3 linked regions of the Rattus norvegicus genome follow. The protein of the gene in region 2 purifies or fractionates together with the protein of the main gene of each other region. This does not show direct contact. Links are inferred from orthologs where the notes say so. Each region holds a gene or a part of one and is shown on either strand. Other genes may lie near its edges.

Region 1 (5,234 bases), on a different chromosome or scaffold from region 2:
TCTGCTTCCATCAGGTTCCCTGCTGGCCCAGTTCTTCTCCTGCGTGTCTTGCTGGGATCTTTCTGGCTCCCTGCTGTCCCTGCGGGAAGGTCAGGCACTGATGGTGGCAGGGGGCCTGCCTTCTGATCTCTGGGAAGGGCTGCGCCTTGGCCCCATGAATCTCCAGGACCCCTTTGATCTGAGTCACAATGTTGCAGCCAATGTGACCAGCCGCGTGGCTAAGCGTCTGCAGAGCAGTTGTGGAGCAGCAGCTAGTTACTGCCGGAGTCTCCAGTACCAGCAGCGCTCCTCCCGGGGCCGGGACTGGGGACTGCTCCCACTTTTGCAGCCCAGCTCCCCTAGCTCCCTGCTCTCTGCCAAGCTTATCCCCTTACCCTCTGCCCCCTTTCCACAGATCATTACAGCTTTGGTGAGTGTGTTAAGGGAAGCACTAGGATGCCATATAGAACAGGGAACCAAGAGACGACGGTCGGAAGGTGCCAGATCTAAAGACTCTCCCCTGGGAGGGGCAAACAAAAGACCAAGACTTAGTGGGCAAGAAAAGAGCTGTGAGGAAGGGAAAGAGGAGCCACAGGGATGTGCAGGGGACCACAGTGAAAATGAGGTAGAAGAAATGGTAATAGAATTGCGAGAGACACCTCAGGACTGGGCCTTGTTGCACTGTGGACCACCAGGGGAGTTGCCCCTGATGACTGCAAAATGTCTAGACAAGACTGCTGAGCAGAATCCCATGGAACCTGAGGGGGCTGGAGAAGGGTCCCCCGGTGAGACAGAGAAGGAGGCTTCACACCCGTCATCAGTGAGTTGGCGCTGTGCCTTGTGGCACCAAATATGGCAGGGGAGGCGGCGTGCCCGGAGACGATTTCAGCAGCAAACCAAGGAAGAAGGCAGAGGAGGTCCCAGCACCGGAGCAGAGTGGCTGGCAGTGGAAGCACGAGTAACCCAGGAACTGAAGGGACCAAAGAGTGAGCAGCAGAGGCTACAGGGGGAGCCCCTCCTCACCTTTGTGGCATCGGCCTCCCAAGCTGAGCAGACACTCACTGTGGCACCCCTCCAGGATCCCCAAGGCCTGTTCCCTGGTCTTCATCATTTTCTACAGGTTTTTATCCCTCAAGCACTTAAAAATCTCCTCAAGTGAGGAGCCAAGCCTCAAAAGCAATAAAGCTGCTAGTTTATTTCAAACAGACATTGGACAACTTCTGTTTTCTTCCTGGGAACACCTTTTCTCTTCGCCTTAGGGTAGCCTCTGCCCTAAGTACCCTAAAACAGTCCTATTAATTCTACTTCAGAGCTCTCCTTCCCATTTCATAACACTTTCATAGTGATTGCCACCACCACGAGGCAAAGGCATTGATTTCTAATAAGGTTTGCCTATACAGGGTTTGTCCTGCTGCTCCAGTTGATGGGAACCACCACAAATTCGAGTTTAGGGTTTCTTTTCTATCTTTTTACATGAAAGAGTTCAAACTGCTCATAAGTTGGATACAAGATTTTCAAATTTTGGTATGTGTAAATTACTGTATCAGAACTGGGCTGCCTTACCCGACTCTCTGGGGCGCAGCCAAGCCTGAGAGGTGCAGGCGACGTGGCAAGTGGTCCGCGTTGCTTTGTTGAAGTTTTAAAAGCATTGAGTTTAATCGGAGCAGACCTGCTTTCAGATGTTTTCGGCCCTGGGCCCCAGCTGAACAGACATCCCTTTATAGAAAAACCCAAGCAGGAACAAAATGAATTCAGTAAATTGTCACCCCTTCCTTGCAGCAGTTCCTATAGTCGTAGGTTCCAGGTGCCAGCCGTGGAGGGGCGGTGCTTCCGCCAGGTTCTCACACTTTTCCCCTCCTTCGGCGAGCTCCGTCGCTTATCAGGCTTCCGATTGGTCGGCTACGCGGGCGGGGCAGTGTCCACAGCTATACTACGCAGGCGCTCTCTCTTTGCGCTCCAGGCAGCGGCCCCACCCCTTACTTTTTCCAACTCAGCGGGGCAGGAGACGGAACTGTCGTGCGTACGCCTTTTATGCCGTCCTCGCTTTCCGGCCGCTGTTTCCACACGACTCAATCCTTCCCTCCTCCCTTGTCTCCCTTGCGGCTTACTTTGCGGCAGCGCCGACAGCCCCACCCCCTTTCTCTGCGGAATCACCATGGCGGCTGGGGTAAGTTTGCCGGCTCCAGTGATTCCGGTCACCCTATCCGCCGCCATCCTTTACTTGGGTTGGGCCAGTCGGCGCCGGAAGAGTTTCAGACCCAAGCCGAGAGCCGATTTGGGGTCCACAGGCCATATGGTCGGAGAGCAGGGTTTCTAGGGCCTGGAGGGGAACTGAGGCTGGGTCTCGGAGGCCAGAGGTGGAACGTTCTGGGGTTGGGAAAAAGAGATGCCGGGTCTCCACTGTCTGGACCTTTAAAAAGTGTGTTTAGCCTCACTGCCATTTTGAGATGTGGTGGCTGAGCAGGTTGGTGGAACTTTTGCCATCTTTTTGTGGGTCAACAACGAGGACAGTGAAAAGGAGAAGGTCTTTGTGGGAAGGGGCGACTGGCACAGTTGGAGCTGACCTTCGGGGAGGTTTGAGAGCCCGAGGAATAAATGAGCAGTGAAATGAGCCCATTCGGGCCCTGTAGGGAGACAGCTGGGAGCTCACTGCAGGACAGGACCAGAGGGATGTTAATTCAAGACGTGCAAAGAAAGGCCTTTTAGGAAGAACAACTGATGAGCTTTAGAATTCAACGTGGCAATTCTAAGGGGAACTTTGAAACCCCTTGGTCTAGTGCGTGCTTTTGAAGTAGTACCATCCGGGAAGTAGACGCCGGGCCACCACGAATGAATGAATGAAACAAGGGTTCTGGTAGAGATGGGTGTGAATGTGTGCGTGTGTTTAGGCCGGTGGGAGTCGGATGGGACCAGAAGTTTTGAAGGGAAGAATGCTATAGAGATGTCCTTAAGAGAGGTCACATCTGTCGGTAAGCTTTATTTAGCAGCTGGTATGTTCTCCTTGGTATTTCAGAGGACTCTGATTACATAGGGCACACCCGGTTAATTTGGTTCCCCGGGAATGAAACTAAGCTATTCACATTGGAATTGCCTGGATGTGTGCGTGGGGAGTGGCATTCAGGATTCTTTTGCTCAAGGCCATCCTTCACCCTTTATCTTGTAGACCCTGTACACATACCCTGAAAACTGGAGGGCCTTCAAGGCCCTCATCGCTGCTCAGTACAGCGGGGCTCAGATCCGCGTGCTCTCCGCACCACCCCACTTCCACTTCGGCCAAACCAACCGCACCCCCGAATTTCTCAGAAAATTTCCTGCGGGCAAGGTGAGTAGGAGAACAGCAGGAATCCCTAGAGTCCCGTTATTCTGGAGATGGCCTCCGCAGTATATTTGTTTTTTTTTTTTTTTTTTTTCCTTAAAAATCTCATGGGGCCAGGGATGTAAGCTATGAAAGCCCCTGAACTTGACTGTCCAAAGAAAAAAAGTAATTTTGAAAGCTTCTGGTAATCCCAGTACTCTGGAGCCTGAGGCAGGAAGACTGTGTGAGGTGAACCTATACAGTATGTATTCTCCCTAAAGAAAAAGAATCATTGGAGGTGGGTATTTATGAAGGGATAGTCACAGCTGTTGAGTGACTGTCAAGAATTACAGACCTGCTGTATGTTTGTGGGATAGAAATTATTTTTACCAGGTGTTATCTGTACACCAATATTAAGTGTGTCTTGAGAGTTTCTTATCCTGAAGGGCTTGAGTAGAGCTAAATATCCTAAGTTAAACGTGGAGGAGGGCAGACGCTGAATCTGGACTGCACCTATGCTTTGGGGGATAAGGCTGTGGGCTTGTCCCACATCTGTATCTGAATTTGTTTATTTTGGGGTGGGGTCTCAACTAGCCCTGACTGGTTTCAGATAAGAGTTCTGGGATTAAGGGTATAGGGCACCGTGTTTCAGCCATGTTTGAATTCCAGCCATTGTGAATTCATATAAGGGATACTAAGTATTTTTCATTTCTGAGTTAAGATGTCGTGAGTTTGCATAGCAAGAGGTGTCTGTCTTAACATTATTTAGCATAGTTCAATCCCAAGAGTTGACTATCGAGAAATCCCTGTGTTTTACTTTTGTGTTTTTCACTACTTTCTCCCTAGGTTCCAGCCTTTGAGGGCGATGACGGATTCTGCGTATTTGAGAGCAATGCCATCGCCTATTACGGTAATTTGAGGGGATACAGGAGTGAGAGGGTCTGGGGGTAAGGCTGCAGAAGTGGTTGCAGTGGACAAGATGGATTCAGAGATTGCACTGGTTTTGACGTGATCTCAAGTTCTAAGCTACATGTTCTCCCTTTGCAGTAAGCAATGAGGAGCTACGGGGAAGTACACCAGAGGCAGCAGCGCAAGTGGTGCAGTGGGTGAGCTTTGCTGACAGTGACATCGTCCCTCCAGCCAGCACCTGGGTGTTCCCCACCTTAGGCATTATGCACCACAACAAGCAGGTACGCTTCAGAACTTGGGGAGAGAAGCTGGGGCAGAGTTGGGGTCAGAGACTACGTATTGGGGCTGGGAAGTAGAAGAAGGAAAAGACACCAGGAGTTGTGTGGGCAGTGCAAAGACTGAAGTGGTTACCATCAGTATGGTGGAAATAAAGTCATACTGACCATGAAGAAACTTAGCACGAGATTCATTTCTGATAGATTTCAACTGACCCCAGAGTCTAATGATAACAGGGTGGGGGTTGAGTCAGTGCTGATGAAATGGCTTCTTTAGTTCTGTTGGTAGGTGGATATGAGGAAAGGGACTTGCTGTCCACTAAGTTTGAGTATTCAAAACAACAGGCCACTGAAAATGCCAAAGAGGAGGTGAAGCGAATCTTGGGGCTGCTGGACACTCATCTGAAGACACGGACTTTTCTGGTTGGTGAGAGAGTAACACTGGCTGACATCACGGTTGTCTGTACCCTATTGTGGCTCTATAAACAGGTAAGGTTTGTGTCCCATTTGACAGGGGTAGACCTGTACTGGGGTACCCGGTTCCACTTAGGACAGACCAGTTAATGGCTGTAGGAATCCCAGCATTGAGAACTGTGACTGTTTTCATCTTTTTTTTTTTTTTTTTCTTTTGGTTCTTTTTTTCGGAGCTGGGGACCGAACCCAGGGTATTTTCATCTTATTGAAGATGGGTGAAAGGCTGGATGTGGTGGCTTATATTTGTCATCCCAGCACTTGAGATGCTGAGACAGGAGGACTGCTCTGGTATAACTGTAGGC
Region 2 (5,245 bases):
CATAGGTTTTGGGGTCCCTGGGCCTACTAATAGGACCTGCTGCTGTTTAGTATCACAGACTTCTTAGAAGTTTAAGTGATGCTAACCATGCAGTGGAAGAGGATAGAAGCCCACACTTCTGGCAAGGTGCTACAGTGGAAGGTGGGAGGCAGGAGAGACATCCATAGGCATATGGTAGGGTCAGGCTGAAGCCCTCAGGACCTCAATGCCCCCCTAGAAAGTCCCATCCCAGCATTACTTCCTGAAGATTCAGTCCCAACACCGAACTTGGGAGATACGTGCAGGCTCTGCTGCTGGGGCTACTGGGTATCTGGCCATTACTTAGCCCTGCTGGGTTAGTGGCTCCTGGGAACTGCTGGCCACAAGGCTATCAGTGGGCTGAGAATGTTATTGATCAACAGTGATACCTCTTAAAGATTTGCTTTCTGCATATTCCCAGGGTCTCTCATACCGACAAAGCCTTCAGGGATTTGCAGTGAAGGCAACGTATATCCCAATGACAGGGAGGTATTTTTGGCCTGCCTCCCCTAGGTCAACGTATAGGTGTTTCAGGCAGAACATGACCTCTGGTCATCAAGGGTCAGTCCTCTAGATGGGTAAACTCCTGGCCTTGGGTCTTGCTGGCTCTGCCTCCCTGCCGTACACAGAGAGAGACTATGTAGAGAAAGGGTGTCTGAAGAAGACTCCAAAACTAAAGGGAAGGTAGCTAGTCACAAAGATTCTGGGTGATGGATCTCTTTATTGAGCCCACTCTGCCTCCTGAATCTTAAACCAGGCCTGGTCGTCTCTGTGTAAGAAGGAAGGCATTCCGGGGACAGATGAGTCGGACAAGTGGGTGGGGTAAATGCTAATATCTTGCCCGGCATTTATTTTTAATTCCTGGCTCCCAGTCGACGGCCTCAGCAGTCTTCAAAATTGCCAGGTCATCCGAGAGGCCTGCCTAGTCTCTGCCTGCCCTCTGCCAGACAGACCCTCAGGCTTCACCTTACTCTCTCCTCATAGCTGATAGCTGCCCTAATTGGTCACCCATCTCCAGGGCCCCTCACGGGGGCTGCCTCAGTAGTTGGTGCTGGGCCCTGACCCCGGTCTTCTATGTCTAGATAGGCACAGGCCTGCTGTTATTCAGCATACTCAAGGAACCTTTGCTTCCTACCTTCTTCCTACCTGCTTCCTACCTGCAATGACAAAGATTGGGTGGGTAGGGACAGGTGGCAGCATTGGAAAACAGGAATGTCTGGGTCAAATGATAGGCATCTCTGAAGAAGTCCTTGGTGACGACACATGGTGGCCACAACCCCCTTAAGGCCAGTTTTGGATATCCTAATCTTCCTAGAAACCTCAGGGGCTCTCTAGTTCCTACCCATGGGGCCTGAAGGAGTTTGGGGGGGTCTGAACTCTGGATGTTCTTAGTGGCCTTAGCTAAGACCGTCTGACCAGAAATGCAATCAGGAGTATGCCTTGACTTTGAGAATGGGTTTCATAAATTCCCTATACCTAAGGGAATAGGTATAAAAAACCTCTTTCCAGAGCTTCCTAAGAAGGTTGGATCCGGGCTAGACTTGCTGATGGCCTCAAGGACCTGTCATGTAGGGTCTATGTGAAATAAGCACCTGTCCCGGGGGTAGGGCATCATGGAAAACCTCTGGAAATTGAGCTTCATGTTCATTGGGACTCAACCATGAGCAGGGCCAGCAATGGATGGCCACAATCAGGGCTTGCAGGGATCTTGACCTAGGCTTGGACCTCTTCTCCTGGGTCTACTTGCTGGTTCCCTGTTTTGTGTTCCATTTTCCTGGGGACATTTTTATGTTGGATGTACCTTTTTTTCCCCCTGCTTTCAAGCAACCACTGTCTCTGCTACTCCAGTTCTTTCTACTGCTTCTTTCGCCTCTCTCCATCCCTGCCCCTCCTTTCCTGGCTCTGTTTCCCTGCCCCCACCTCTGAGCGCTGCACCGCCCTTTTGCCTGTTTTTCTCTCCTGGTCTGTGCTCTCGCTCGGTGGTTCTCTCCCTCGCTCGGGTACATCTCTGCAGCTGCGTCCTCTCGGATCCTCGTTACGCCGGCCGGCGTCCGTGGGTGCGCGGCCCCTGCGTCCGCGCATCGTTCGCACCCCATCTGCCAGCCTCCCGGCGCCCGCCTCCCCCCTCCGGTACCGCATTGCCGTACTGCAGGGGCGCAGTGCATTGCGCCGGCACCGTCAATAGGTGGACCCCCTCCTAGAGAGATAAAACCGCCGGCGCCAGCGCCACCAGTCCCTCTGACTGAGACCTCGGCTCTGGGTAAGGACGCACAACCCGGTCTGAGACCCTTGATTAGGTTTCCAACCAGGGTTCGCCTTCCTGTGAACCCGTCCTGAGGTAGAGGGGGACATGCGGCACCTAGCTGGGCTGCACCTCTGGGCTGGGAGGGGGTGTCTCTAGACAGGGCATGGTGGGGTCCCCGTGGCAGTCGGGTAGTAAGTCCCTTAGGTGATTGTATACTTGGTGACAGGGGTTAGGGAGGGGGATGTTTCTCCTGAAATCATCATGCTGTCACTGTGACCTTGGGGCTTGCCGGGGGTTCTGCGAGGCCGATCGTTGCAGGTGCTGGCATGGTGGTTTGGGGCTCTGAGGATGTTCGTGATTTGTCAGAGTAGGGCGGGGGGTGGTGATGGTAGTGAAACCTGAGGACCCCTATTCACGTTCTACGGTGGCTACCACCCTAGGATGCACCCCCATCCCACCAGGCCCGAGATTCTTGGTTGACCTCTAAGATGCGCAGGTACTAAGACCCAGGGCCTGGACCAGATGGTAGGGGAGAGGGTCGGGGCATCTCTGAGGGCACTTGCTTAGCTGGGCCAGGTGGGATTTTTATTCTTCTGGCTAGAACAGGGCACTTACCTCTCGGCCCTGATGGCTGCCCCCTGCCTGTGGGGAGGGCCTGAGCTATTCTGGGCCTATGCCTGGGCACCATCCAGCTGTCTCCTCAGCCAGCCTGTGGGCAGAGGGAGGAAGATGGCGCCCTTGCCTGAGGAGGGGCTGAGGAGTGCTGGCCTTCTCTTCATGGTGGCAGCAGATGGGGGTAGGGCAGTGTCCATCCCTGGGGTGTGTGTGTGTGTGTGTGTGTGTGTGTGTGTGTGTGTGTGTGAAGGAGGGGGGTGGAGGCATCGAGGACAGGGAGGACAGCGCACTGTAGAGCTGGGCACAGTGACTCATCACAGGGCTCCTGGCTGCTCCAGGGGCTCACTCAGTCTGCTGCTCTGTGATGTCCAGACAGGATTAACCCTTCCTTAAGGAACTTTCCTCCAAATCAACTCTCCAAACACTTACACACTAACGAACCATTTGGGTTAAGGTATAGGGTAGAGAAACAGGTGACTTATGAATGCAATGTGTCTGGACACGTTTAGGACAAGGGTTTGGGGGTGGAGGGTGTCATTCTTCCCTATCCAGGCTCAGGTGAAGACTGGGTCAGGAAAAGAGCTCCCAAACAATGCAATGGTGTGGGTATCTCTGCTGGGCTCTCTTAGGGCCCCCTAGTCACCTGTTTCTCTTGTCCCTGGCCCCACAGAGTTCCTGCCCAGCAAATACCCTCAACCCAGAGCCAGAGCCCCCACAGTGCCAGCCCGTCCCTCACTCAGGCAGAATGGGCAAGGAGAAGACACACATCAACATTGTGGTCATTGGCCACGTGGACTCAGGCAAGTCTACCACGACAGGCCATCTCATCTACAAATGTGGCGGCATCGACAAGCGGACCATCGAGAAGTTTGAGAAGGAGGCAGCAGAGGTGAGGACCTGGGGGCCTGGTGCTTTCTTTCATTGCCCAGTTTACCTCCTTCAGTGCAAGGGGATATGGGTAGGTAAACAGAGCAGTCTCCTGAGAATGTTGCTAGATCTGTCTCATACTGAGGGAGGGGGAATTTGTGCCCTCCCCAGGTCCATTATAAGACTCTTCACTCTTGGCCTCGGTGGGCCAGTGCCAGGGGGCCCTTCAAGCCTTATCCTCTTGCTCCCCAGGACTGAAACTGGGCTGAATGTGGTGCTGCCCTCACTTGTCTTCCAACAGCCAGGGCTCAAGGATGCTATTAATAGTTGATTGATGGGCAGCAGGCTTGCCAGCTCCACTTTCTCCAGATAAGCTGAGGAGGGTTGCTGATCTAGGATGATACCTGGAGTAGGGGGGATCTTGCTAACCTGTTCCTGGTTGAGACCTACGAAAGAGCAGTGATTGTAACTGGATTCTCTTCTCTGCCCCTACCCCTGCTCATTCTGAGAAGGGCTGGCTCCTGCATAAGAGCTAAGGCAGGCCTGAGGACATTAACTATCTATGCAGAGCTCTTGCTCCAGTGTGTATATGGGACTTTGAGCCACAATTCTGTGTGTCTAGGCCTGATGCTTTTTACCTTTTAGAGGGTGTGATTTTAGGGGGAGGAGGTAGGAGGGATTTGAGGGTTTGAAGGTCACTTGGGTCAGGTCCCAGCTGGGTTTTGTCTGGTTCTGTCTGAATAGCCAGCCCCTCCAGGCTGGGCATCATCCGTGGAATGCAGAAGCATGTCATTTGAAATTCTGGTAGGGAGCTATGTTCAGTTGAGCATCGATGACCACAGCTCTGGTCCAGGCTGTAGGAGTCTCACCAGGAGTCTGACCCTGGCACAAGTTTCCAAAAAGCAGCCAGCCTTGCTCTTGGTAGGGCTACTCCTACTTCTCCTATTTTGGTGGAACTGGGGAGGGGAGATGTCTCAGAGTTAGAAGAATTCATCCACTACAGGAAGATCTGGAACCAGACTTTTCTCAAAACCTTGAGCAACTTACTCATGTTTAAAATTTCCCTTAAAAAATAACTTGAGACTTGTTTTGTTTTTCACAGCCCCAAACCTAATGAGATAATTGACCTCTAATTGGGTGTAGAGCCTTAGCCTCAGGTGGCAAGGATAGTTTGGCAACTCCCAGACACTCACGCCCTCTGCTGGGGGACTTGCGTGTTCACAGCCATTTAGGAGGGGAGCAAGGGTGGGGCTGGTTGATCTGGGCGGCCTCAGGTGAGGCACAGCAGGGTTTGAGGAACAGCACCGGAGAGATGGGACAGAGGTCCTCCGTTCGAGGCACTTTAAGCCAACTGTCAACCTCTCATGGTTGCTCCCTGGGGCCAGGACAGGCGTAGTAGGTGGATGCGACCCCAAAGTCCTGTGTCCTATCCTGAGTTGTGCCCCTACCCTTCCAGATGGGGAAGGGCTCCTTTAAATATGCCTGGGTGCTGGACAAGCT
Region 3 (4,463 bases), on a different chromosome or scaffold from region 2:
ACCCAGTGCTCCTCACAGCTGACCCAGTGCTCCTCACAGCTGGCCCAGTGCTCCTCACAGCTGACCCAGTGCTCCTCACAGCTGGCCCAGTGCTCCTCACAGCTAACCCAGTGCTCCTCACAGCTGGCCCAGTGCTCCTCACAGCTAACCCAGTGCTCCTCACAGCTGGCCCAGTGCTCCTCACAGCTGCCCCAGTGCTCCTCACAGCTGACCCAGTGCTCCTCACAGCTGACCCAGTGCTCCTCACAGCTGGCCCAGTGCTCCTCACAGCTAACCCAGTGCTCCTCACAGCTGGCCCAGTGCTCCTCACAGCTGGGCCCAGTGCTGCTCACAGCTGACCCAGTGCTCCTCACAGCTGGCCCAGTGCTCCTCACAGCTGACCCATCTCTCTGAGCTCCCCTAAGGGAGCTTTGGTTTGTTTGGTTTGGTTTGGCTTTTGGTCTTTTGATTTCCTGTTTTTGGGTTTTAGTAGCCCAGAATGGCATTGAGATGGGTGACCAATGGCAATGAGTTAGGTGGCCAAGGCTGGCCTTGAACTCCTGACACTCCTGCCTTCCCCAACCAGCATGAGGATTGCATGGGTGAGCTGCTCTACCCAGATTTGTTTTTAACAGTAATGATACCAAAGGGCGCTTTTCTTCTTCTTTTTCAGTTGGGGTCTGTCTTAGAACTTGCTATGTAGACCAGGTTGGCCTCAAACCCAGTTTGCCTCTGCCTTCAGGGCAATGAGATTAAAGATGTGCACCACTGCCGCCCGGTTCCTCAAAGCACATTAAAGTTTATAAAGTATGTTAATGTTTTCTGGGGTGTCTGTAAGGGCGACTTCTTGCTATCTCTAAGAGACTTGCTACAATCCCTTTCCACAAAAGATCTTAGTACAGTGTGATAAGCAAGCAGAACTGTAATCCTTACTTCATTGTACACTGTTATTTTGTCTTTTTTTTTTCCCCCCCGGAGCCGAGGACTGAACCCAGGGCCTTGTGCTTGCTAGGCAAGCGCTCTACCACTGAGCTAGATCCCCAACCCCTCATTGTACACTGATGATGGTCCTCTAACATGCAAGGGGTTGGGAGGGAACAGTGGAGATGGCTCAGTGGATAAAGCACGCTGCAAACATACGGGAACCCAAGTTTGGATCCACGGGACCCGTGGATTGCACATCTGTAATCTCAGAAGCACTGAGGGCAATGGACGCCTGTGCTGTAAGCCTCTTACAGTGGAGAACAGGAGAACACAGCCCAAGGTGGAAGACAGGGACTGAGGCTTCAGTTTACCTTCTGCCTTCCACATGCACACACGCCCACGCAGGTGCACACATAAAAACTAAAACCCTGGGGTTGGGGATTTAGCTCAGTGGTAGAGCGCTTCCCTAGCAAGCACAAGGCCCTGGGTCCGGTCCCCAGCTCCGAAAAAAGAAAAAAAAAAAAAAAAAAGAAGTACTGATTGTGTCTCCGCCCTTTTTGGCAAATGGGAACATTGAGATGGGTATTCCGGCGTATGTAGTCCTGGTGGCCTGGAACTCATAGAAATCCACGCCTCTGCCTCGGGTGCTGGGATTAGATGAAGCCACCACCCTGGCACGTAACACCTTCTTACCTTATCGGCTGGCATTTCCTATCGCCTGTGTCCTCCCTTACATCTGTGAGCCTCTTCCTCCTCCTGGCCTCCCCTTTTGTTGTGAACGGAGTGAAGGTTCCCCTGTTCACAGGGCGCGGGCATCGTATCAATCATTCCACTGAAGAACATGCCTTTCGTCCCTCTGCAGTCACTAGGATCTGGAGAGGCCTGTGCCCGCCCTGTTCATCTTCTCTGTCGGGCACTTTAATAAGACATGGCGAGTTAGGAGCAAGACCTCTTGGGTAATCTGCTTGGGTCTGTGGATGAAATTGGCTTCTGTCTGTGGCTTTGTTCCTAGGACCATCTTGCCTGTAGCTCTCTGGCTGGGTGAGACCTCCTCTGTTCTTTTTAGAGATTGTTCTGCTGGTCTTCCAAGTTCTTTCTCTGCCTGACTTCAGAATGAGAGGGTTTCAATCCATCCCTTTCTTAAGCATCCATGACCCCCTCTGGCAGAACCGTGAGACCGTTGGTGTTGGGTCTACCTGCCTGGCTCACCCTCTGGCCCTGCTGTGTCCCACAGGCACCGCATGCGGGGGGAGACCACCCTATGGAACCCAGGCTGTGACCATGCTGGCATCGCCACCCAGGTGGTGGTGGAAAAGAAACTCTGGAAAGAGCGGGGTCTGAACCGTCACCAGCTGGGCCGCGAGGCCTTTCTTCAGGAGGTCTGGAAGTGGAAAGCGGAGTGAGTCCAGCAAGCCCACGGGTGCTGCAGCCCTGGCTGCGGGCTTGGGCTCCCACAGGGGTGGCCAAAGGCTTATCCTGGACTCTGTCCACTTCCAGGAAGGGTGACAGGATTTACCACCAATTAAAGAAACTTGGCAGCTCCTTGGACTGGGATCGAGCCTGCTTCACCATGGATCCAGTATGCAGGCAGAACCCTGGGGCGGGGCAGGGGTGCTCCCTGGGTGGGGTCCCTCTGCCAGGAAGTCAGAGCATAGCCAAGGGCTCAGCCATCAGTGCCTAGCCCAGACCTAAGCTGCAAGCCCCCAGCTGCCCCTGCATCACCAGACCCTGACCTGCCCTGCACTCCCATAAAAAACAAACTGTCCTGGAGGTTCTGTGTGGGACTCTAGGATAGGCCTGGTGAACTCCCAGTCCCCCCTCAGTCCTCACCTCACACCCCCACCCTGGGCATTGTCCTTGGCCTCCAGGCACCAAGATTTCTCTGACTTCCACTTTCTTCACCCTAGAAATTGTCAGCAACTGTGACAGAAGCTTTTGTTAGGCTCCATGAAGAAGGGGTCATTTACCGCAGTACCCGCCTGGTCAACTGGTCCTGCACCCTCAACTCTGCCATTTCTGACATCGAGGTGTGTAAGCCTCTTCCCACAGTGGCCCATCTCCCTCTGCCCACCACTTGTCTCCCTCTGGTCTTCCCTAGCCTGGGCCTGGCCCACTTCTCTAAACACCCATCTCACAGGTGGATAAGAAAGAGCTGACGGGCCGCACCCTGCTCTCTGTGCCTGGCTACAAGGAGAAGGTGGAGTTTGGGGTCCTCGTGTCCTTTGCCTACAAGGTCCAAGGCTCAGGTGGGAGCTAAGGACACCAGGATGTGGGCTGGGAGGGGGCGGGTGGAGGGAGCTCAGACACAGAGCCTTCTGTCACTCCAGACAGCGACGAGGAGGTGGTGGTGGCAACAACCCGGATCGAGACAATGCTGGGGGACGTGGCTGTGGCTGTGCACCCCAAAGATCCCAGATACCAGGTGGGGCGTGGACACTCATGCTGTGTTCTGGGGTGGGTGAGGGCCTGGTGCCCAGCCCTGCCAGTCCTGACCTTTCCCTGTTTGTGTTAAGCATTTAAAGGGAAAGAGTGTCGTCCACCCGTTCTTGTCCCGGAGCCTTCCCATTGTCTTTGATGACTTTGTGGACATGGAGTTTGGCACAGGTGAGCCGTGGCTGTCGCCTGTTGGGAGAAAAGACTGAAAAATTACCTTCGGTGCAGTAGGCAGAACTGAAGCTGGATACAAGATACAAGACACCGTGTTAGGGAGCAGACAGCAGAGGGGTCTGGGAGCCACGCCCTTCAGCGTGAGGGGTGTGGGAGGGAACCCCCAGCATGCAGTGGAACCCTGGCACACCCTGTGTCCTCCAGGTGCTGTGAAGATCACCCCGGCCCATGACCAGAATGACTATGAGGTTGGGCAGCGACATAGGCTGGAGGCCATTAGCATCATGGACTCGAAGGGGGCCCTTGTCAATGTGCCTCCACCTTTCCTGGTGAGGATGTCTGCACAGTGAGGGGCCTGTGTGGAAGGTGGAGAGTCTTGGGCATTGCCATAATGAGGCCTTTTCCATCCAGGGCCTGCCCAGGTTTGAGGCCAGGAAGGCTGTGCTGGCGGCCCTGAAGGAGCAGGGCCTGTTCCGCGGCATCAAGGACAACCCCATGGTAGTGCCACTATGCAAGTGAGACCGGGGACGGTGCACATGGGGAAGGGAAGGGTGGGGTTCCTCTGGGAGCTTGGCACATGGCCTCCTCTCTATGACCTTCCTGCTGCAGCCGCTCCAAGGATGTGGTGGAGCCTCTGCTAAGGCCACAGTGGTACGTGCGCTGTGGGGAGATGGCTCAGGCCGCCAGTGCTGCCGTGACCCGGGGAGACCTCCGTATACTGCCTGAGGCCCATCAGCGGACGTGGCATTCTTGGATGGACAACATCCGGTGTGTATGGCCTGGGTGGGCAGCACAGCAGCTGAGAGACACAGGCTGAGCACCCTGACTGACCCCTTGCTGTTCGCAGAGACTGGTGCATCTCTCGGCAGCTGTGGTGGGGCCACCGAATCCCTGCCTACTTCATCACTGTCCATGACCCAGCGGTACCCCCTGGGGAGGTGAGGAGGCTCTAG

What was found.
Region 1: the proteins of Eef1a2 (region 2) and Eef1g purify together in Homo sapiens (affinity purification with mass spectrometry; 4 studies listed by BioGRID and IntAct, counting the BioPlex papers as one, with this or other methods). This does not show direct contact. The link is inferred for Rattus norvegicus from reciprocal best matches to the Homo sapiens genes EEF1A2 and EEF1G.
Region 3: the proteins of Eef1a2 (region 2) and Vars1 purify together in Homo sapiens (co-immunoprecipitation; 3 studies listed by BioGRID and IntAct, counting the BioPlex papers as one, with this or other methods). This does not show direct contact. The link is inferred for Rattus norvegicus from reciprocal best matches to the Homo sapiens genes EEF1A2 and VARS1.

Annotation. Positions count from the first base shown.
Region 1 is NC_086019.1:215,287,684-215,292,917, forward strand, and holds the start of Eef1g (elongation factor 1-gamma), read left to right. Parts: upstream 1-2,131; 5' UTR 2,132-2,134; coding exon 2,135-2,146; intron 2,147-3,142; coding exon 3,143-3,301; intron 3,302-4,120; coding exon 4,121-4,184; intron 4,185-4,321; coding exon 4,322-4,464; intron 4,465-4,803; coding exon 4,804-4,947; intron 4,948-5,234. Other genes in the region: Tut1 (speckle targeted PIP5K1A-regulated poly(A) polymerase), read left to right, coding at 15-1,138. UniProt on the Homo sapiens protein: Probably plays a role in anchoring the complex to other cellular components.
Region 2 is NC_086021.1:188,649,415-188,654,659, reverse strand, and holds the start of Eef1a2 (elongation factor 1-alpha 2), read left to right. Parts: upstream 1-2,026; 5' UTR 2,027-2,278; intron 2,279-2,984; exon of another isoform or gene 2,985-3,053; coding exon of another isoform or gene 3,054-3,059; intron 3,060-3,548; coding exon of another isoform or gene 3,549-3,623; coding exon 3,624-3,767; intron 3,768-5,201; coding exon 5,202-5,245. UniProt on the Homo sapiens protein: Translation elongation factor that catalyzes the GTP-dependent binding of aminoacyl-tRNA (aa-tRNA) to the A-site of ribosomes during the elongation phase of protein synthesis.
Region 3 is NC_086038.1:3,814,357-3,818,819, reverse strand, and holds part of Vars1 (valine--tRNA ligase), read left to right. Parts: intron 1-2,137; coding exon 2,138-2,302; intron 2,303-2,400; coding exon 2,401-2,482; intron 2,483-2,810; coding exon 2,811-2,930; intron 2,931-3,040; coding exon 3,041-3,149; intron 3,150-3,230; coding exon 3,231-3,325; intron 3,326-3,416; coding exon 3,417-3,507; intron 3,508-3,714; coding exon 3,715-3,839; intron 3,840-3,921; coding exon 3,922-4,025; intron 4,026-4,119; coding exon 4,120-4,278; intron 4,279-4,357; coding exon 4,358-4,448; intron 4,449-4,463. UniProt on the Homo sapiens protein: Catalyzes the attachment of valine to tRNA(Val).